Linked DNA regions of Drosophila melanogaster. The protein of the gene in region 2 interacts with the protein of the main gene of each other region in a pairwise test. Each region holds a gene or a part of one and is shown on either strand. Other genes may lie near its edges.

Evidence for each region.
Region 1: the proteins of sofe (region 2) and CG31156 interact in a two-hybrid assay, tested with the Drosophila melanogaster proteins (one large-scale study listed by BioGRID).

The regions. Positions count from the first base shown.
Region 1 is NT_033777.3:22,606,402-22,618,900, forward strand, and holds CG31156 (uncharacterized protein), read right to left. Parts: upstream 7,256-12,499; 5' UTR 7,100-7,255; coding exon 6,942-7,099; intron 6,884-6,941; coding exon 6,389-6,883; intron 6,324-6,388; coding exon 5,892-6,323; intron 5,833-5,891; coding exon 5,462-5,832; intron 5,403-5,461; coding exon 5,120-5,402; intron 5,051-5,119; coding exon 4,851-5,050; intron 4,799-4,850; coding exon 4,609-4,798; intron 4,552-4,608; coding exon 4,321-4,551; intron 4,315-4,320; exon of another isoform or gene 4,274-4,314; coding exon of another isoform or gene 3,754-4,273; intron 3,706-3,753; coding exon of another isoform or gene 3,137-3,705; exon of another isoform or gene 3,084-3,136; intron 3,081-3,083; coding exon 2,948-3,080; intron 2,875-2,947; coding exon 2,745-2,874; intron 2,683-2,744; coding exon 2,459-2,682; 3' UTR 2,269-2,458; downstream 1-2,268. Other genes in the region: Efa6 (exchange factor for Arf 6), read left to right, coding at 796-817; CG13843 (uncharacterized protein), read left to right, coding at 3,137-3,705, 3,754-4,273; mRRF2 (mitochondrial ribosome recycling factor 2), read left to right, coding at 7,363-7,495, 7,560-7,722, 7,780-8,072, 8,126-8,495, 8,553-8,775, 8,828-9,339, 9,401-9,614, 9,673-9,822 and 1 more; CG31161 (uncharacterized protein), read left to right, coding at 10,290-11,402, 11,473-11,628, 11,683-11,793; mRpL45 (mitochondrial ribosomal protein L45), read left to right, coding at 12,169-12,213, 12,281-12,499.
Region 2 is NC_004354.4:10,852,254-10,862,136, forward strand, and holds sofe (sister of feo), read right to left. Parts: upstream 5,161-9,883; 5' UTR 5,019-5,160; coding exon 3,195-5,018; 3' UTR 2,747-3,194; downstream 1-2,746. Other genes in the region: feo (fascetto), read right to left, coding at 336-2,351; CG2186 (uncharacterized protein), read left to right, coding at 5,669-5,682, 6,035-6,126, 6,192-6,872, 6,945-8,644, 8,709-8,837, 9,565-9,883.

The DNA.
Region 1 (12,499 bases), on a different chromosome or scaffold from region 2:
AGAAAACACAAATGTGGTTCACTAGTAGCAAACGTTTACGTTTAAGCCTAAGCTACCGGCATTCCAAATATACATGCAACAACATAATAACTCACAAAGAAAAAAGGATTATACCAGTTTTACAAACCAGCACACATCCAACGGATAGATATAAAATTTAAGTAGACGAATCAATTAAGCCATCCCACACCCACACACTGTACACAAGTTGCTGATGATTTCACCGATGTACCCATATATGACTCATGTTAACCCGACGACATTTGGTGACCCCGAGCCCTAGGTGAACCCAAAGCAGTTGCCGTTACTCGTTGCCCGTTGCCATTCCGTTTTCCCGTTCAAATGCGTTCAAATGCTACGTTCCACCCAAATGCAAGTGAAATGTGAAAAGCAAAACCCAAATGGAAGAATTCTTCAATCTTACAGATGGTTCGATGTCTTCTGCTGCTGTTGCCCACTCTGGCGGCACTTGATCCATTCGAAAAGCCATTAAGCAACTTAGTCTCTTGCCAAGATTTAGCCACATCAGCCACAGCACACGAAGCACCACAACTCAGAGGCTAGTGATCCGCTCCAAGAGGTGCTCCTTGTAAATGCCCTGACCCGTACTGATCGACCCGATCACCTGTCTTATTAAATGTGAGCAGGCCGAGGCCAAAACTCAATGTTAATTGTTAACTCTTCAGTGTCTAGCTTGGCTTAGTGCGATCCCAAAACGAATTCCCACCATCCGACAACCCGTTTTTTGTTTTCAATCCACGATTGCTAACCTCGCTTATTGTTCTACACTTGCAGAAAAGAGAAGAAAAAGAAATAATTACGTTTTATTTCGCTCTTGATTTCGATCATTTCAAAACTCGCATAACCAACACACACCTACATCACAATCCCCGCCTCTTGGCTATCGGTAAGTGCCATGCCCACATTGAACCTATCAGCAACTTCGACTTATGCGTGTAACTATCTTTTCTCTCCCCACCAGTGAAGCAGGCGATTGAACGAATTTGAATAGAATACTCCAAAATGCCAAGCTGCCTGCGACGGGAACATAAACAGATCAGATCCACACAGAACCACTGAACCACTCACCCACTCGCATACTCAGCACCACTCGCGCCACGCCACCACCCACCCACTTACACTCAAGCGTTGCGGCTGTGCCGTGTCTGCCACAGAAATTCGGAATTCGTGCACTTTCAGTCAGTTAAAACCCCATCAGGGGTTGCGAGAAAGAGATCATTTGAGACAATTAGACTACCAATGCGATAATTAACGAGGGAGAATTTTACGTTTAAAGGTCGTTCATCAGAAGACATCGGCATAATCTCGGCAACCAGAGGATTATCTCGAATTCGTGCAGTTGATTTTATATTTACCATGCTACTTATCCAGAATGAGGGTATTCGAGATCGGTTTCACCTGATTTAAAGCTACACAGTCAGATCGATTCGAATTTGAATTATCGTTCATATTTGCTCCGCCAAAGATTCTGCTGGACGGCTGTTTAGGAACGAGAATGAAAACTGCTTATACACATAGACTTATTATTACAAGAGTTGATAAACAATACTTACATCATTACCTATGCTATCATTATAAATGATAAAAATAAATTATTAATTAATGAACAATATCTCTACACAACCACAAGATGGAGAACATCGGCAGTAACAATAACGAAATGAGAATTGAGAAGAGGACAAGCGCATTAGCATTAAGCTTAAGCAATTACTACCATACCGTGTACAACTTGTTTTTGGTCTTTTGCGATACATTATCACATTTAACTGTGTAGGAACAGTTACTCCAATATTATGTACGGATTAATATATTTATTTAAACAACTATCGGTTGATTACGCGACATGTCCATGTAGCTAGAATATGAAATTAAATATCCATTACGGGGTAAAGAGAGATGGAGGAAAAAATAAAATTAAATGCATCATATATTTTTGAATATATTATGATTATGGTATTGTGTAATTATGTAAATGCAGACTATATAACATTGTTTATAATAATTTTTAACAATTCTACTGAAACGGCAATAAATTCGAAAATACAAACTAACTAAAAGTGAAAGCAACTTGCCTGCTGCAAACCAAGCGCCTAAATGTATGCATATTGTATATTTATTTTAACTGGCTTAAGAGGGCATCACTTAGTTTCTAAAGCAATACCCTTTCGATAACAATTCATTTAAGACAACTTGCCAACTTGTGGCGAGAAGGGAAACAAGAAGACGAACGTGGAGACGGTGATTTTTATGTGAACATTTATTACTAACTGATAAGCTTTGATTAAACTTAGGAAAGCCGTTATACTATGCATATACACATATATATAAATATATATATGAACTATATATAGTATATATGAATGCTCGTGTGAGCAACCAAACAATTACGATATGAATCATTAAATACTTCCGAAAGCATTAAATCCCTGCAGTTTGTCTAATCCTCCGCCTTGAACTTAAACGAGGTATCCGTCTCCATCAGCATATTTTCCAAACGTAATTCCAACTGGCGTCGCTTCAGATCCACCTTTACCACCGATGCCACAATGCGATCGCCAACGCTCAGCTGCGAATTATTCATGTTACTGTTGTGTATGAGGCCATTGCGCTCCACTCCAACGTCCACGAAGGCGCCAAACTGGGTTACGTTGGTCACGGCACCTGTGTGTCGGAATAGTTTCAATAAGTACATATATGAAATGACTATCATAGTCTCCACTTGCCAGTGACCACCTCGCCCATGCTAAGATCATCCAGCCTAGTTAGACCTTGTTTGAACAGTGGCCTCTTGTCCAGATCTGCTCGATAATCCTGAAGTAATTCGCGCTGCAGGGCAACCAACAGGAACTCCAACTGAAAGGAAATTTATTTTAAATTATTTGAACATTGCAATAGGCCTGTTTAGTATAGATTGAGTGGCACTTACTCGCTCCATGGGCAGCTTGTGCTGCTTGGCAATGCGATCGAGATTAGGCTGGGATGAGGCAAACTGCTTGATGCTAGCTATAAAGGCAGCCTTGCCCACATCCGACAGCTTTAAGTCACATTCTCCGACAATACTGAAAGCACAAAAAGTATTTGGTTTTAGAGTTAAGTTTTCAAATTTTCCATTATAATGATTGCCAAGCTAAAGCAGGAATATGCGGAGCGCTGGCATTATCCTCCAATTGTGCCGCCAGCCAAGCTTCGATATGTTGCATGTGGAAAGGTAGCATTCTACGGCCACAACGATAAGCCGAAATACAAGCCCTGCTGGCAGCATCCGCTCAATGTGCAGGATCAAACCCGCTTTGGAGTTTGCTGGGAGTATCCGCCGGAGCGGTACAAGCGTCGTCCGCTTCCGCCACCGTGCCGGGGATCGACCATTCCCATCCATTTGCTGAAGCCAACCTTCAAGCATTGTGAGAATATCTACTCCCGCTACGATTTTAAGCTTGAGCAGTGTGTGCACGAGCAAACTCTAGTAGTTGACCAGAAAATGAAGGCCCTGAAGAATGAGCTGGAGCAGGCCAAACCATTTCAGATTGAGAGGGTTAAGGAGATGCGTTACCATGGAGTGCGTTATCGCATTTTAGCCAGCTCGACCGGATGCACTAAGACCTATCCCGAGTACATAAGCCGGATGACCGAAGAGCGGGCCCTTTGCGAGTTTCAGAGAGCCTACAATATCGTCAATCAGTCAAAGTAAGTCTATTAAAAATACACAGCCACTGCTAATTTAAAACTTTTTAGCACCGATTTGAGCAATTTATACCTGGACATGAGTGAGTCGAAAAAGGAGCTAGATCAACGCGTAGCCAGGTTGGACCGGTCTTTAGGAAGTACATTCTTGAAAGAGCTAGATTCGGTGCTGCAAATAATCGAGGACTTAAACACGTATTTCTTTGGCGTGATCGTGAAGCTAAAGACGTGGGCGGAGCTGATGGACCCTATGAAAGAGCACTCTATAGAGGACTATCTGGGGCTTTTGAGTCAGGAGACGGACTTCCGGACTTTTATGAGTGCCGGCATGGAGAACTGCACCTGCAAGCGTTGCGACAAGAAGGATCCCTTGAAGCCGTACCTTCCGTGCTGGTGTCAAATGGAATCTAGCGAGGATGTTACAAATCTTAAGAATTTTGACGACGATTGTCCAAAGAACATAGCTGGCATCACGCAACACGAAAGTGACATTGTGACACCTAGTGACACCTCCTTGTTAGTGAGGGCAGCGGATGAAAAGGCCAGGCTTGCGATGAATCAGGCGGAATAAAGTCTCATTATTATTGGTTAATGAAGTCAATTGAATATTGGACTTACCTTTCCACAACGTTGTAGCTCTCAGGATGCACCCAAGTGCAATCTAATGGATTCTGTAGTTGTCCTCCAACGCTTCGGGGTTCGATGCGCACAAAACCGGCGCACTGGACAAACGATTTCTCACCTATGCTTCGCACGGAGAGCAGATCCTTCCGTGTCTTGAATGGTCCTTTCTGCGTACGATGCTCAATGATCTTTTCCGCTTTCTTTTCCGACAGACCAGCAATGTGCCTATATGGTGGAGAATATTAAAAATATATAACTTATTTGACCCTTAATCACACATACTTGAGTACACTCAGACTGGCTGTGTTGAGATCAACGCCAACATAACTGACACACTCGGACACAACGTCATTCAGCGATGCCGTCAAAATCTTCTCGGGAACATCGTGCTGGTACATACCAACCCCCAGGTGACGGGGCTCTATTTTAACATATTCACTCAATGGATCATTCAAACGACGCGCTATGGACACTATACAAAATATGTTTGTTTGTGTTGCTTTTAATTTGATCTTCGTCCAAACCTGCGCTCCTTTCGTTTGTATCCATTTTGGGAAACTCCTTGGCGGCCACATTGCTGCAGGAGTAAATAGATGCTCCATTCTCGTTAACGATGCTGTAGCGAATGATCCTGCTGTCCAGAACGCCGGCATGAAACATACCAGTTAGCCAGTGCTCAGTTTCGCGACAGGCAGTACCATTGCCCAGGCCAATAATTTTACAGCTTTTGGGAAAGGCAAAAAAGACATATTAATAACTATCTTTGCAAATCGAATTCAAAATATATATATACTTATGATCTGAAAGAAGCTGAACCAATTTCTGTTCGGCAGCCCGCTTGTTTGACATGGCACCATGAGGGTAAATAACACCAGTGTACAGCACATCAGCAGTCTCGGATATAAGTGCCAGCTTGCATCCATTTATAAAACCCGGATCTATGCCCAAAATGCGTTCGCCTTTCAAGGGGGATATCAACAGTAGTTGCTTCAGGTTCTTGGCAAACACATCGATGGCTGCCTTTGTGCCTTTTTCTTTTAAAGCCGCTCGAATCTGCCTGCACATCAAGGGCTGCACTGTAATAAGTAATTAATTAACATATCATATGGGGGTCTTAATATATTCCATATCTTACACTTCTTCGCGTAGCACTCCTCTAAGGATTTTGTGAACACCTCCCTTCTTAATGGATATTGCAAGCCTTGGTTCATGTACTGATCGGTTATATAGCGCATCAGATCTCTTTTAAGGTAATCGTTCGTTTCTATCTTGACAGAAAGCCATTTGTGCTTCTCCCCACGATTGATGGCTAACATTTGATAAGGTTTTATAGTTTTAACATCACCCTGGAAGTTGAAATAATTCTCAAACTTTGAGCTATCCAATTTCTTATCTGCATTTTGGTTGGATCCTTTACTGGAGCTTGCTTTACTAGAAGAACTAGATTTAGACGATTTCGCCTCCTTGGTCTTGCTGCACTTGAGGAATACCCGGTGCACGTTTTGCCTAGAACGATATAGCAAATAATTTCAATAGAAACTTCCTAGTTAGGTACAAGAGCTTACAATCTGCGTATTTCCTCCAAAACATTTGTGTTTTTGCTGATGTTGTGAATAATAATTTGGCAGATTCCAGACATCACAAGTGCCTCCGTAGCTAAAGCCTCATTTCGGCGGTCCACAATTTCAGAAAGGTTGACCTTAGGTGCTGAGCCGTACAGTAAACAATCGGCGTACACCTGCAAGCCCAAAGCTTTGGCGCGTTCCGCCAAAGTGCCCTTACTGGCCGGCTTATAGGGGGCATAAAGGAACTCCAGTTCTTCGTTGGACTTGGCGCACATTAGCTCCTCTCTTATTTCCGGAGTCATGATGTTTTCACGCTGCAATTTACCAATAATATTCTCAGCTCTTTTCCGCAGATCGACGATCTCTGTGTACGTGTTCCGAATATCTCTAAGGCGATCTGGAGCGATGTGATCCACCAGATCTCGACGGTACCTGTCAGGAAACAATGCCAATATAAATATATCAATGCCAAGATAAATATATCAATTATAGCGTACCTGCAAATAAAAGGTATGGTATTTTCATCCTCGAAGAGCTTTACAATATTTCGAGCTGCCTGCGGTTGTATGCTCTCCGTTTCGGCCAGGAGCTCGTCGATGTTCCACACCTTTCGTCGCTCCCAGAAGGAACTGCGTCCAGTGGAAGACTTGTTGTGTGAGGAGCTGGCTACGATATCGTTTGGTTGTGTCACTGCTGTTGAGGGCACAACGTCCCCCTTCTCAGGATTAGTCTCATTGGCTGCCGTTTTCAAGTCCTCCTTATCCTTTCTGGCGCGTTTTCTCTTAGGAGCCGGAGCTTCGGAATTGTGTTCAGTGCCTACGGCTCCATTCCGTTGGTTTGAAGTTGAAGGTGTGTCCTGGACTACCGATTCCGGATTGTTCTCATTGGGACAAGCATTCTCGTCCGCCTTTTCTTTGTCGCCCCGCTTTTTCTTGGGAGCTGGTCCCTCAGCAGCTGTTTTTTTGGATGTTGGGAACCGCTGGCGTTTGGTCCTGGAAGGATATCGGGTAAATATATTATTCTTTACAGGATAATAAGGGTATGACTTACACGACGGTCTGCGCATCTGCAGCGCGATCTATTATGCGACTCTTGGTTTCTTCCGGCCTGTAATCGTCGTCTGCCGTAAGATTCACTTCCTCATCTGAGTCGGAGATTTCAATTACTATCTTTTTTGTGGATGCCGCGCGTCGAGGTCGTTTCGACATGTTGCAATCTATTCTTAAGATTATGTTTAATAAGCACAATATTGCAATTAATTTACAATTTATTTTATATTCTTAAAAAAGGTAATTAACAAATGAACTTAACAATTTCTCTTTTTGTGACCTCTTTGATCACGAAGTCGTAAATATTCGATTGCGAGAGACAGCTGTTAGCGCCACTTATCGATAACTATAAAAAATAAACAGCTGATAAAAGTGGTTAAATTTGGCAGTTTGGTTCCATTTTTATTCATTTATTAATGAAAATGCTGAAATATGCATGGCAAAGCGGTCCAAAACAAAGCAACAGGTGGCTATGGCATCTTTCCAATCAAATCTGGAAGCGTAGCTATAGCAGCAAGATCAGGAACATAGGCATTCTGGCGCATATCGATGCAGGTGAGTAGGAGCACTGCAAATTTAAATACTACTTAACATTACTTTGTCAATGAATCTGTTTCAGGCAAAACAACGACAACGGAACGCATGCTGTTCTATGCGGGCAAGACCAGAGCTTTGGGTGAAGTGCATCGCGGCAACACGGTCACTGATTACCTAACCCAGGAGCGCGAACGGGGCATAACGATCTGCAGCTCGGCAGTAACATTTTCGTGGAATGATCACCGGTAGGAGTTTCGTTTGCTACTTCGCTTACCCGTAACTCCTGACACCATTTAATCCAGCATCAACCTATTGGACACACCCGGACACATTGACTTTACCATGGAGGTTGAGCAATCTCTGTATGCCGTGGATGGTGTGGTCGTTGTTCTGGATGGCACAGCTGGCGTGGAGGCCCAAACGGTCACCGTGTGGTCGCAGGCGGACAAGCACAAATTGCCACGTCTCATATTCGTCAACAAGATGGATCGTCCTGATGCGGACTTTGAAAAGTGCGTTAGCGATCTGAAGGATAAGCTAGAAACGCAGCCCGTTTGCCTACAGTACCCCGTGAAAAACGAAGATGGGGTTTTAGGTAAGCTCTGTCTACACTCTTTTGAAAGCTTATCTAAGCTCCGCCAATTTTAGCCATCAATGACGTGATCACCCTGGAGCGACTAAGCTGGCAGCAAAAGGACTTGGGCCGCAGTTACAGAAATGTAAAACTGGAGCCCTCTGATGATTTGCGCCTGCTGCAGGAAAAACGGAATGAACTGATTGATCAACTGTCGGGACTAGATGACGAATTGGCCGATGTGGTTATCAGCACAGAAAGCTTTGACAATGTGGACAATGCATTGATCGAAAGAGCTCTTCGACGGGCAACCACCCAGCAGAAGGTAGTGCCCGTATTGCTGGGCTCCGCCTACAAAAATGTGGGCATACAGCGTTTAATGGACGCTGTCAATGCTTACCTGCCTGCCCCCGAGGAACGAAACCAAATCTACGACTGCTTTGGGTGAGTACTTATTCGAGAAAAAGTAAATGTTTCATATTAAGTTGAAGTGGTTAACAGAACAGAAGTGGCTGGCAAGGTGTTCAAAATTGTACACGATAAGCAACGTGGTCCATTAACCCTAGTTAGGATTTTGAGAGGCGAAATAAAACGAGGCATGCGTCTGATATCCGCTCGCGGACAGGCTGAAGTTGTGTCTAAGCTGTATGAGCCATTGGCCGACGAATACCGAGAGGTGAGCGCTGTGCAGTCGGGCGATGTGGTAATATGTGCAGGTCTGAAGGTAAGCTGCACCCAATATAGATAATTAAACAAGATTAAATACCATTTTTTAGTCCACGGTGACAGGAGATTTGCTGACCTCAAGTCAGTCTGCGCTGAAGAATGCACAAAAGCGATATAAACAAAGCCTGGGCAATACTGCGGCCAAAGTCGAGGAAGATGACGAATTGGATGAGTCAGACGAGCTGTTTGCTATTGACCCGCAAATACCAGATGCCGTGTACTTCTGTTCGATCGAGCCTCCCAGTGTATCCTCGCAAACGGCCATGGAGCAGGCACTTAAACAGCTGCAACGGGAGGATCCTAGTCTGCGTGTGAGCTACGATTCAGTTACTGGACAGACAGTACTCGGTGGCATGGGCGAGTTGCACATGGACATCATCAAGTCGCGCATCCTGAGCGAGTACAAAATCGACGTTGACCTTGGTCCTCTACAAATTGCGTACAAGGAGACAATTGAAGCACCTGCGTTAACCACGCTAAGTGTGGAAAAGGAAATAGCCGGCAGCAAGCAGAGCGTCAGTATAACACTGGAGGTTGTCAAGAATCAAGCCGAGTTGTTCAGGTGATTTGGAATACTATGAAATTTCTACGAAATCAAACTTAAATGTGTTTTTCCACAAAAGTTTAGATAAGTCACCAGATAACCTGCCAAATCTCAACACATTGCGTCCACGAATTCTTCAAGTTCTGCGGAAGGGCTCCATCAGCGCTCTAGAGCGAGGACCTCGCGTTGGTGGGCAGGTTGTGGAGACTCAGATTCGTCTGCATAACGCAACTATTGGACGCGGCACTGCTGATTCTTTTGTCATGGCCACTGCAGCTCAGTGTGTGCAAAAGGTAACTAAGATCGTATTATTTCTTGCAACTCGTTTACATTTTGTATATAAACTCACAGCTACTGAGCACGAGTGGCACCAGGCTGTTGGAACCCATTATGGCCCTTCAAATTGTGGCGCCTAGCGAACGTATTTCCGGAATTATGGCGGATCTTTCACGGCGACGAGCCCTGATTAACGATGTCTTACCCAAAGGCGAAAGAAATAAGGTAACCACTGGTTAAGTTTATAACTTTGAAAGACATTAAAAGGTATTTTTTTAGATGATTCTGGTGAATGCTCCTTTGGCAGAACTCTCCGGCTACTCGAGTGCCCTACGCACGATAAGTTCCGGCACAGCCAGCATGACGATGCAACCGTGTGGCTTCTCTTCAATGAATTCCGTGGACGAATCGCTGGCGGAGCGCAGAGCACAGGGCCTTGAATAATTTTAGTCGACTAAGAGAACTGTTAACTAATTGTAGTCTAGTAGGCAGTTAACAACTGGCCCGACTGACAGACAAATATGTAAATTTTTACGTGCCTAGCAATAGATTATTTTGTGATCCAATACATGTCGGACCCATACATATTCTGTTGATCACTTTCCGAACCGACCCTCAACCCTCATTTTTAAATAGTGTTGTAAATTCGCATGATAGATTAGTTGTTTTTGTGTTAAGCACTAGGCGAATTCATGGCGTTCTCCACACAAAAAGAGTTCTTTCACGTACCCTTCAACAATGAGACATACGAATTTGAGTGTGTCGATGCGTGTGTTAAACTTAAGAGGTATCCATCCACAGTTGACGACAGATCATGGTCAGCAAACGAAGATATGAAGTCACAGTTCGTGGCTGACCTGGTGGCCTGCAACTCACCGATAAAGAAGGACCGTGGTGCCGAGCCTACCGCTAGATCTGCTCCATTGGGTCCTGAGGATGAGTACGGCAGTAATTTAGTGGTGGGCGACAGTTTAATAAATGCCGCGGACGACACAATTGGTCGCATGCAGGATCTGATGATCAAGAATAATATTCTAAAGAAGAAACTGGCCGATTCTGATGATAAATTGAGGACAGCCAACCAGGAGACCGCCGAGATCAAGCGGATTATGGACCAGCGCTATGACCCCGACAAGAGCAAGGCTCTAAAAAAGAAAATCAAGCAACTGGCCGATGACAACAAGATAACTCCGCAGGACGAGAAGGAACTGAACGGTCTGCAGGCGGCCATTGACGACATGAACAAGGCACACGACATCCTGGAGGCTGAAAATGCCAATCTAAAGCGGCTGCTCGAAAAACAATCGAAGCGCTGCAAGATGGATAGCATTAAAGTCGATCCGGAAAAGAGCAACGATATACCCTACCTGCAGAAGAAGATCGACGACTTGGGTAAGGAGGTGGCGCTACTGCGTGAGTTCGAGGACGAAGTCATGAAGCGTTGCGCCAAAAAGTGCGGTGCTGAAGGTGGTGGTGGTGGTGGAGGTGGCAATGCTGGTCGTGCCGCTAGGGGTCCTCCTGGAAAGGGCAGTTTCTCGCCGGACAAGGATGCCGAGAACATCAAAAAGATTCTAGCCGATCGTGATGCGCTGCGAAAGAAGTGTAAGGAACTGGAGGAGCTCGGCGACAAAGTCAATCAACTGGAGGAGAAGGCCAATGAGGCGGAGTGTCTGACATGCAACCTGGAGGAAAATCTACGGAAACAGTGCCGATGCATGGAGCAAATGCAGTGTGAAATGCGAGATATGCAGAACTACTACGAAAACGAGGTAGACAAGGCTAGGGGCAATGAGGAAATCCTTAAGGTACGTTATTCAGCACCTATATGCTGAGTAAGTGTTAGTAATGTGGACTCCTTACCTTCTCCCATCCCAGTGCCGTTGTAATCAGATGAAGCAGGAACTGGTGGCAGCCAAATGTGCCGTCCAGCGGGCCCAGTGTCAACAAATGGAGATCGATGTGCTGCGAAACGAGCTGCGAAAACGGGACACTGCCCTCAACGCATACGATTGCCAGTTCCAGCAGATTATGGTAATTATTGTCGCGGAGCTGCGGGAATATTCTATTTAAATATTTGACTTCCAGATGAAGGCCAAGATGTTCAAGGCCGCCGGTTACCGCTTCCTTGACGACTTGCCTCCCGACTGCAGCGAAAGTTGCGTGGATGGCCCTGGTGAAGAGGAAGAGGGAAATTGAAGCACCCAGAAGGCATATCTCATCTATTGTTCAGATTTTTTCAAAATTCAAGCAGCTATCTATCAAAATCTATAGTTTTATAAAATTAAACCATTACTTCAAGCGTATTTTCAAATTCGTTTACTAATTTTCTATTAAACTATTAATAGTGTTATCTACTACCCCTTGTTTCAATATAGGAAAGTAACGAACTATTCTTTTTCAAAATTCAAAACATATAGCTAATCGGTTTTGGGTTGTTTACCTACCCAAACTTATCGAATGTGTTATCGGTGTAATCACGTTTGCCAGCTGGTCGCGTTAGTGTGTTTCCGTTGATTCTTCCAAAGTTTGTTATTGCGGAGTTTCCTATTTATATAATAGAAATAAAATACAATGGAGAAGCTAGCGTCGGCCAAAACGTGTCTTAAACTGCTGCAGGTGCATGGACAGATAGGTGGCCCACCGAAGACAGTTCAATTAACATTGCCTTCATTGTATATCCCAGGTTATGCCCGGCGTGCAGCAGGCGGCCCTTCTTCCTGGTGGTGGCCTGGGCGTGCTCGCTTCTCCTCTTCAGAATCTGATCCAGATGCAGCAGGTGCGCCACCGACAAACCAAGCACTGGAAGCCCGAGTTCAAGCGCCTTCGTAAGCTCAAGTTCGTAAAGATGGATCTGCCCAATCTGCGCGAGAAACAGGAGGATATCACCAAGGAGGAGATGCGC
Region 2 (9,883 bases):
AGCTCCCCATCCCTCTAACAATTAACAAATTTAGTTGATGATCAAATAAATCGTGAAAGCATAGTAAAACATCGAAATGTACAGCTATTTCTTTTTGGTGGAAAACTAGCAAAAAATTATTAACAAATGTACAACCAATTCCTGAAATTTACACACGAATTATGCTGAAAGAAATGTGAAATACACTCGAGTCTTGTGGTCAAGCGAAAAAACTCACATAAATTTTATTCTGAAAACGTAAAACAGAAAATAAAAAATTAAAATACATCAAGAAACTCCAACTGTTATGAAATAGTGTAGTAGGTACGCGTTAAGCTAGTCAATCTCCAGTGGAACTAGAACTGTCTGCGCGGCTGCACGATCATCAGGCTTTCCCGCGGCACCGGCAGATTGGCATTCATTTCCGCACGACGAGTTCGCGGCACGGCCAATTGATGACGCTGGCGCGGCAGCATCGAGGAGCGACTGGTCGGCTGAAATTCGTCATAGCTGACACCCTGCTCGGGATTCTCGTCCGTTGTGTAGTCACTGCTGTCGGGTGGGGCGTTCTGATCGTTGGACTTGGTGCGCGCCTTCTTGCTGGAACGCGTTCCAATGCTGCGCCTGCCCATACCGCCGCTGCGTCGCAGTGTGTTGTCCAGTACGCGAACACGTTTCAGCGGCGACTTGGTGCTCTTCAGCTGGTTATGCTGCTGGCTGGGCGCGAGCAGGTGCTTGGCTGGCGACGCCTTCATCGAGTTGAGTGTGTTCATAAGGCTGCGCTTGGCGTTGGGCGTTTTGGGGCCCGTCTGCAGGCCGGACGGATTCAGGCGCTTGTGCAGATTGCCCGTACTCTTGGTGATGTTTAGTGGACGGAGGTGCTGCTGCGACGGCGTCTTGCGCAGCGACATGGTGGAGCTGGAAAGGGTCGACATGTTGCGCAGCGTGCGCGGCGTGCGTGGAGCTGTCGAGCCCGTTGCCGGCGGTGGCATTATCTTGCTGGCCGATGGCGGTGCCTTCTTGCGCGCCGAGCTCTGCTGTTTGGCCTGGCGATGACGCTCCCAATCGGCGGCCATCCGCTCCAGGATGTTCTCGCCGTGCACCAGAAAGGGTGTGTTCTCCTGCGCCTCGTATGCCTGCACCAGTTCCGTGATCTGCTGCTCAATCTTGGGCAGCTTGGAGGTGATGGCCTTGCGCTCCTTCTCCTCCTTGAGCAACTGGCCGCCACGATTGTTGAAGCGATTCGGCTCGCTCGCCTTGGCCTCCAGCGCCTCCATGCGCGACCAGAGTTCGGCACGGCTTTCGTACAGATCGAAGATCTCCTTGTTCTTGTTGTAGAAGGTCTTGAGGTCGTCCAGCTCAAGTTCGTGGAGCTCCAGCAGATCTTCGTTGTACCAGTCGTTGTAGTAGTTCGAGAAGCGCTTGCGCTCCTGCTGGCTCTTAAGTGTGAGATCCCACATCTCCTTGATCTCGATGCGTAGCTGCTCGATGAAGGTTTTCAGATTCTGGCGTCGCAGGGCCTGGCAGCGCTGCAGTTCCTCCCGCAGGACATCGTAGGTGCGTTGAGTGTAGGTCGTAGCCTCGCGCACGCGACGCATGGCATACTCGTCTGTCTCCTGGAGTCTGTCCCACAGCACATGGATCTTTTCGCGCATATCGTCGATGCGCTCCCTCAGCTCCTTCACCTGGTCGGCGAAGTTCTTTTGCATGTTGCGCAGGAGCTCGAAGGTCTCCGGCGTTAGGCAGTGATCCACCTGGTTGAGCAGACGCTCCTCGGTGTCCGTCTGGGGCAGGCACTCAAGCAGCTTCATGTCGTGCTTAATGGCCTGGCGCAGCTGGTCCATCTCTTTGAGGCGCAGCACTCGCTGATCGCGTAGCTGGCCCAGGCGATTCCGAAAGGCGTCCATCTCCTCGGGCAGCGGCAGTGGATCCGCCAACAGTGGCAGAGGCAGCTCTCCCAGTTCCTCGCACAGCTGCTCCTGCTGCAGCAGAAGCTCACAGATCTCCGCTCGCCGCCTGGCCAGCTGATCGCGTAAGTGCTCGATGCTTTTGTCCAGCTTCAGCTCCCAGACGACCAGCGGCATGGACTCCGGCCGCTCGCCAATGTCCAGCGGCTCGTGGAGTAGGCGCGTCAAGTCGGTGGCCTCTGCCCGCAAGGCGGCTATATCGTTGAGGATCGCCTGCTGCTTTTCGCGCGACTCATTGAGCAAATCCGTGAAGAAGCTGTTCGCATGGTCCTTCAACCGGAGGAGGAACTCACCGCAGGTCTTGACCTCGAACAACTGCGACCACATCGCGTGCAACTGATCCACGTGCTCGCCCGTCATCTCCAGGATCTGGGCCTTCACCGCAATGGCGCTCGGCGAGTTCATTTTCTCCGTTTTCGTTGTGAAATTTGTGTTTTTTTTTTTTTGTTCAAAATTTCTTTTCTTGCGTAAATGCTCACTGGCTTTGTTTTTTCGTTGTGTTCACTTGGGGACTATTTAACCAGCATATCTGAGTTAACTTGACAGTTGTGTCGCAGACCCACAACGCTGGGCAGGATTGCTCGGGAATGTGCGGATTTATTTAGTGGTTTATTTAGAGTGCATCACTGCACGAAATTTCGAACTGAATGAATCGATGACGCTAGACAGAAATTTCGGTAAATTCAAATTGAAATGGCGGCCAAGAGTGTTGCCACCGCGTTGTGGGACAGCATTGCCACGCGGCGGTAACTTCTGGTAAAACCAGGGCTGGAGCATACGCCACTTTTTTGAATATTTAAAATTCGTTATTTGGTTTATTAGCAAATTAAAATATCTATTTTAATTATTTTGCTCCTTAAAAACGTATTATATTCTCTTATATGCGCTTAGTAAACATCCCACAGACTTTAGAAAACCCTTCCCACACATGTATATTTTGGTAAAATTGAAATCAAGTAATTTATAATGTAAACAAGCGTTTTTATCTGACTAAAAATTTAAAATGTGGACAATTGTTCATTTACTTCTTGCCGTCACAGGTAGTGCAAAATAGTTAAAAGAATTTTAAAGTTGTAAATTTAGATAGTCTTTGCGCTAGGAAAAGCCCTAACACTATACATATGTGTATACATATAAATACGATGAGTCTGCAATTGCGAGCCAAATACTTCAGTACAGGTAATAGATATAGAACACAGATCAGTTGCCGAAATGATTGCCATTGGATGTGATTAGAGTCTAGCTCCATTATATGGCCACGACCGCCTCCTCGTCGGGACTCTCGTTCTCCTCGCCGGACGGCGGACGCACATGGATTTTTGGTATGGGACGAATTTTCTGGGGATTCCTGCTCCCTGTGCTCGGCCTGCCGGATCCCTTGCCCCGACGCACCGAGTATTCCAGCACGCGCACCTTCCTCTGCGGCGACTTGAGCAGCTTCTGCCCATTCACACAGACCTTGCGACTTGCATTGTTGCACTCCAGCGATGCGATTAGATTTCGCTTGGCCGCTGCTGCCGGCTGTGGACTATTGGTGTTGTGATGCTGTGGATGCCGTCTCTTGTGCAGATTCCCTGTGCTCATTGCCGTGGTGCTGGCATTTGCCTTGGTCGGCGTCTTCTTCAACGAGGATGTGGATCCATGGATGCCCCGGTTGCTCTTCTGCGTATTGGGCGTAAGAGGCACCATTGGCGGCTTCATTTGGCCGCTCGTATTGCTGCCATCCTTCTTCTGGGCGGAGGGCTGCTTTTTGGACTGTCGATGCCGCTCCCAGTCCGCCGACATGCGCTCCAGTATATCCACGCCGTGCACCAGGAACGGCGTGTGCGTTTCACTCATGTAGACCTGCACCAGTTCGGTGATTTGTTGATCGATCTTGGGCAGACGGGACATGATAGTCTTGCGCTCCTTCTCCTCCTTGAGCAGCTGTCCACCGCGATTGTTGAACCGATTTGGATCGTTGGCCTTGGCCTCCAGGGCCTCCATGCGCGTCCATAGCTCGCCTCGATTCGCGTATAGCTCAAATATCTTCCTGTTGCTGTTGTAGAACTCCTTAAGGTTGTCCAGCTCCTTCTCGAACTGCTCGAGAACATCTTCGGTCTGCGTATCACAGTAGTAGGTGGTGAAGCGCCTGCGCTCCTCGGTGCTTTTCAGTGAAAGATCCCACCACTCGTTGATCTCAATGCGCAGCTGCTCGATGAAGGCAATCAGATTCTGCTGCCGCATCGCCTGGCAGCGCTCCAGCTCCTCGCGCAATATGTCGTAGGTGCACTGGTTATAGGACGTGGCTTCGCGCACACGACGCATGGCGTATTCGTCGGTCATCCTGAGCCGCTGCCAGAGGCATTCAATCTTGCCGCGCATCTCGTCGATGCGGTCGATTAGATCCTGCACCTGGTCGGCGAACTCTTTGTCCATTTCTTGCAGGCGCACGTAGGCGTAGGGAGTAAGCTTATGGTTATCCGCATTGAGTAACCGCTTTTCCGAGTCCGTTCGCAATTGAAGTTCGAGTAGTTTTATGTTTCGTTTGATGTTCTGGCGCAGCTCGTCCATATCCCTGAGGCGCTGCACTCGCTGATCGCGCAGCTGGGCTAGGTGCTCCCGAAAGGGGTCCATCTCCTCGGGCAGCGGCAGGGGATCAGCTAGAAGTGAAAGCGGCTGTTCGCCCAGCTCATCGCAGAGCTGCTGCTGTTGATGGAGTAGCTCCCTGATCTCTGCCCGTCGGCTGACCAGCTCTTTGCGCAGTTGTTCGATGTATTTCTCCAGCTTAATGTACCAGATCTCCATCGGCACATCGTCCGGCCGCTCGCCAATGTCCACCGCTTTGTGAAGCAGCCGCCTTAGCCCGCTGGCCTCGTTGCGCAAAACGGCTATGTCGTTGAGTATACCCTGCTCCTTGTCGCTCGTCTCCTTGCGGAGATCCGTGTAGAATGTGTGTACGTGATCCTTAAGACGGGCGAGACAATCCTCGCAGGCTTGCGGCTCAAACATTCGCGACCACATTGCGTGCAGCTCGTCGAAGTGCTCGGCCGTCAGCGCTAGTATCCTTGCTTTGTGTTCGCTAGATAGCATTGTGTTTATTTTGTTTGTTTCTGTGTCGTGTTCTCGTGTGTGGTTGGATGTAAGTAAACATGAAATTCAATTCGAATCAGAACGTATGGACGCAATGTTGCTATGTTTAAATCGGTAAATTTCAAACTGTACATCAAACTCGTGCGCTCTGCAACACTGGCCAATTGGTGCTGTTAGGCGACAGCATTGCCACATCGGTAAGCATTGGAGATCAAATATATATATAGTGAGTGAGTATATTTCTGCTACTCACTTTCTATTGCGTATAATGCGTTATAAGAAAATAATTGTTTTACCGTGTCTAATATGGTAAATGTTAGTACCAATGGTATGGTAAGTAGTATAAATTGATATCGATATATACCGATAGCAACGCATACCTATCGCTGTACTTGCCACCACTAATACCAATTGCATCCCTCAAAAAAAATACTGCGTGTGAAAAAGACCCGAACTTTTCGCATACCTTTCGGGTGCCTACTTATTCAGTGGAAAAGCGCGCGTTACTGCTCAGATCGATTCGATCGCAAAACGGCTGTTCAAAATGTTATAAAACACCGCGCCGCGTCCGTAGACAGTCCCTGTTCTACTTTAAAACACACACCCACACACGCGCGCCGCCGAGTGTCAACAGCTGCCCTGGCGAAAAAATGTCGGACATTAAGTAAGTGGTGGGTGCGAAAAAGTGGGTGACCCTGTGATGAATGGTGGCCACCTAAGATTGGGCAACAATCCTGGCCAGCGTTCGATTGGTGGCACTGAGAAAATCGCATGCAAAAAGCATTGTCGGGGCGGGGGGGTTGGCGATGCATGTGTATAACATTTTCAAGCTGCGTAGGTGTGTACGTATGTGTGCGAATGTGTGTGAATGCCCCCCCGGCTGTGCTTGTGTATGTGTTTGAGTGCGTGTGGTTATTATATTTTTTTTTTTCAATGGAACCTCGAAGGATAGAAAAGTCTCACCTTGGTTTTCTCCTTAACCCATTAATGATTTCTTAACTGCATCTCATCCGCAGCGATGACCTGCTCAACTACGAGCTGGGCGATGACATCGATGACCAAGCTCTGCTCGGCGCCGATGAGGATGAGTTGCTACTCTCGGACGAAGGTGAGTTCTATATGCACTGCAATAGTTGAATCGTTTTCTGATGGATATCCTTCTTCCATGCACAGAGCTCGAAAAGGATGTCACCAGCGAGGTGAAGCAGCAGATGCGCGCCGAGGCCGAGGAGTGGGCCCAGGAGCAGATTAGACAGCACGAGCGCAAGCACAAGGAGCAATTGCAGGCAGATGCGACTGCAGCGACTGAAGTCACTGTTGCAGCCACGGCCACCGCAGAGGTAGCACCAACTTTAAGGGCGCAACCAGAGCTAGCTTCATCTCCTGCTCCGGATCCTGTTCCTGCGAAACCTCTAGTCGCTCAGGTGGAGAAACATGTTGACACAGCCCACGCGGCTGTGGCAGCTGAGCCAGCGAAGGAACTGGTGTCAGCCAGTCGCTCGGAATCCCCACAACAGCAAGCTAAGGAGGAGGCGCCTCCAGCTGATTGCGCCGAAAAGGAGGCGACTCAGAATAATGGCAACAGCGAGGAACAAGCTGAGAACGCTGGCAGTCAGAGTGAGGCTGAACGAGGACTGGGCTTGTGCTCGCTACTGGCCTCATCCCAAGAGAGCCTGCCCAGCGCCAGCTCAGCCTCTGTGATTTCAGATCCGCGAGAGGACGACGAAGAGCGCGAGGAGCGCACCAACTACAAGACGGCCAGCGAGCGATCTGACAACAATCTGAGGCAGCAGCAAGAGCACGCACACATGTCGCCCTACCAGCACCAGCAGCGGCGACTCCACGGCCATGGAGGTGGGTGCAACGGGAGGGGTAGTCTTCCTTGTCAAATCCTTACCTAATGAGTGTATTAATTGTTAATTGCAGATAAACCCCGCGTGGGCGGAGGTGGACGCTTCATGCATGGCCAGCAGCAGCAGCAGCAGCAGCAACAGAGCCAGATGGGCAAGCCGCCGCGTGGAATTGGAACGCGCCACCATCTGCTACGCAATCCGTCGCCAAGTTTCGGCATACAGCAGCAGCGCATGGGCATGGCCGGGATGCAACCGCCGCCACAGCGATATGGCATGCCGGGTAATGCTCCACCACCGCAGCACCTGGCTCTGATGAGCACGCCAGTGGGTGCTGCTCCCACCGCCGCCTGCCTTCTCCCACTAACCGTTCCCGTAACCCCGCTCACCCTGTCCATACCGCAAGCCCATCCCAGCCATCAAGTTCATCAACAACAACAGCAAACACTGAGCAATCCGACATTCATTCCAATTCCAGGCCAGTACCCGGCAACTCAGCCACCCAACCAGTCACCACAACAAGCACCGACCAACACACAACAGCCACACAGCGCTCCCGCCTCTCCCCTCCACACTCCCACGCATTCGCACATGATGCACCACAGTCACAATCCGAACGGAGGCGTGCTGCACCACCTGCTGCCGCATCCGCACGAGCAGGTGCGTGTGGGTCTGCTGCAACCACCGCCGCTGGCATATGCGCCCAATCCGGGTGGCTATCGCAATGGAGCACTTCTGGGTCCGGGACCGGGACCTGGTTTGCATCAGCAACACCAGTCGCCGCACCAGCAACAGTCGGGCATGCGTCCGCCGCTGTATCGGAATGCCCCGCCATCGTACGGCTACGACCAGGGACATCCACCCCAGCATCCGCAGCAGTTCATGCGGCCTCACAACGGCTGGCGACCGCAGGGGGACAATGCGCGCATGCAGCGACCACCACTGCAAACGCTGCCACCGCACATGATGCCCGGCGCACCGCCGAACTATGCCAATGGCATGGGAATGCGAGGACCGCCGCCCCAGCAACAGCAATCGCAGCAGCCGCCACAGCAGCAGCCAGCACCGCAGCAGGCGGGCAATCCCCTACAGCAGGCCGTCAATCCTGGCCAGCCCCCTCAACAGCCGAATGGACCGCCGCAGCAGCAGGGCTCATCATCGGTGCCCCGGGTCAGCAAGGTGCTCATCAATCCGAATTTCAAGGGCGGCGTCGAAGCGGCTACCAACAAGTTCATCAAGGAGACACACTTTATGCCCGCCATTAACAGCGAGGCCGAGTTGCTGCGCCAGCAGGTGGAGTTCATCAACAAGAATCGGCAGTACATTGAGAAGCGACGCATGGAACGCTCGCCACCGTCGTCGGGCTCCTCCACCGGAGCCGCCTCGTCCGGCCAGGCAGGCGAACGGAGGCGAACACGTAGCCGCAGTCGCTCTCGTGGTCGCAGTTACTCTCCCGTTAAGCGCGTGGAAAGAGAACGCGAGCGGGAGCGGGAGCGCGAGAGGGATCGTGAAAGGGATCGGGAGCGAGATCGTGAACGATATGGCGCCAATCGGGCGGCTGGAAACCGTGGATTCCGACGGGCATCGAGTCGGGATCGAGACGAGAATCGTGGCGCAGCAAGCACCGCCAGTGCTCAAGGAGCGGGCGGATCAGCATCCAGCGGAGCTGCGCCCCCCAAGCGACGAAGGAGTGGCTCGGCCGGAGGAGGCACTGCCCGGAATCCATTCTCTGGCGAGCCGCGCGGCCGACCCTCCGAAACAGGCAGTCGCAGTATGGTAAGTGGAATCAGTGATGCAATGTCAGCTCTGGCTCTGAATTAATATCACATTTTGAATGCAGCCCAGCGACGAGGACGAGGAGACCCGCAACTATCGCCTTGAGATTGAGAAGCAGAAGCAACTGCGCGAGAAAATCATGCGAGACAAGGAGCTGAAGCGTCGGCGCGCAGCCGAGGAGAAGCTACACGAGGTAAGTCCTTGTTCTCTTACTTATTTTATTAGCTTATAAATGTGCAGGTTGTACCATAGTATTTTGATGCCCTTGCTGGTTGGTTTAGAATATGAGCAGAATATACATAAGTAGTTTTGGCAAAAATTCGATATGTTTGAGAGGAGTTTTAATAAGAACTTGGCCCAAAAAGATCACAGAACTTAAAAAATTACTGATTTCTACAGCTAATAAACAAGGTTTAGTGTTTAAGTAACTTTAATCCAGATTTTCAGAAATCCATTTTTGACATATTTTTTTAAGTTTAATTTTTTGCGAAAACTGGCAAAAAATTAAAGTTTCTATGTTCGAATGCAGATCGATAGGAAATTTTATTTCAAATTTAACGAGGTGTAAAATTCAAATTTTGAACAATTATTTCCAATGTTACAGCAAAAAAATTGATTATTTTGTATTAAAAATTGTAGGTAAAAACTATTAAAATTACGTTTGTTCAGCGTTTTTTTTAACCATATTTAGCCCAAAAAGATCGCAAATCTAAATATATATTATGAACAGCTAATAAAAATAAAATAAATATATAAATTTTATAAAGATTTTTATAAAGCATGTGTAGGTAATCTTGTAAAATATATAGTGTATGCAAGGGCATTTGATCCTTCGGCCGCCGAAGCTAGCCTTACAATAATGTAGCTTACTGTAGCGATCCGAAAGCAAGAGAAATCCACAAACGAACTAAACTTTCTAGGAGAAACGCGCCGAGCAGCACAACACTTCGCCAGCCCGCGACGACCAGGAGGTGGCCGCCGGACAAGGATCTGCAGCGCCAACACCTGCAGCGTCAAAGCATCGGCCAACCGCATCAGCCGGCGAGCGCAAGGTGATCTCGCTGAAGCGTCGCGACGACCAGGATGCGAGCAGCGTACGCAGCAGGCAGGCACAGGGATCGCAGTCCAATGCTCAGGCAGGCCAAGGTCAGCAGCAGCAGCAGGCGGCGCGCAAGCAACTAACGGCGGCGAAGATAGCGCCAGAGGCAAAGCGCAGTATAACCGATCACCTGGCGCCAT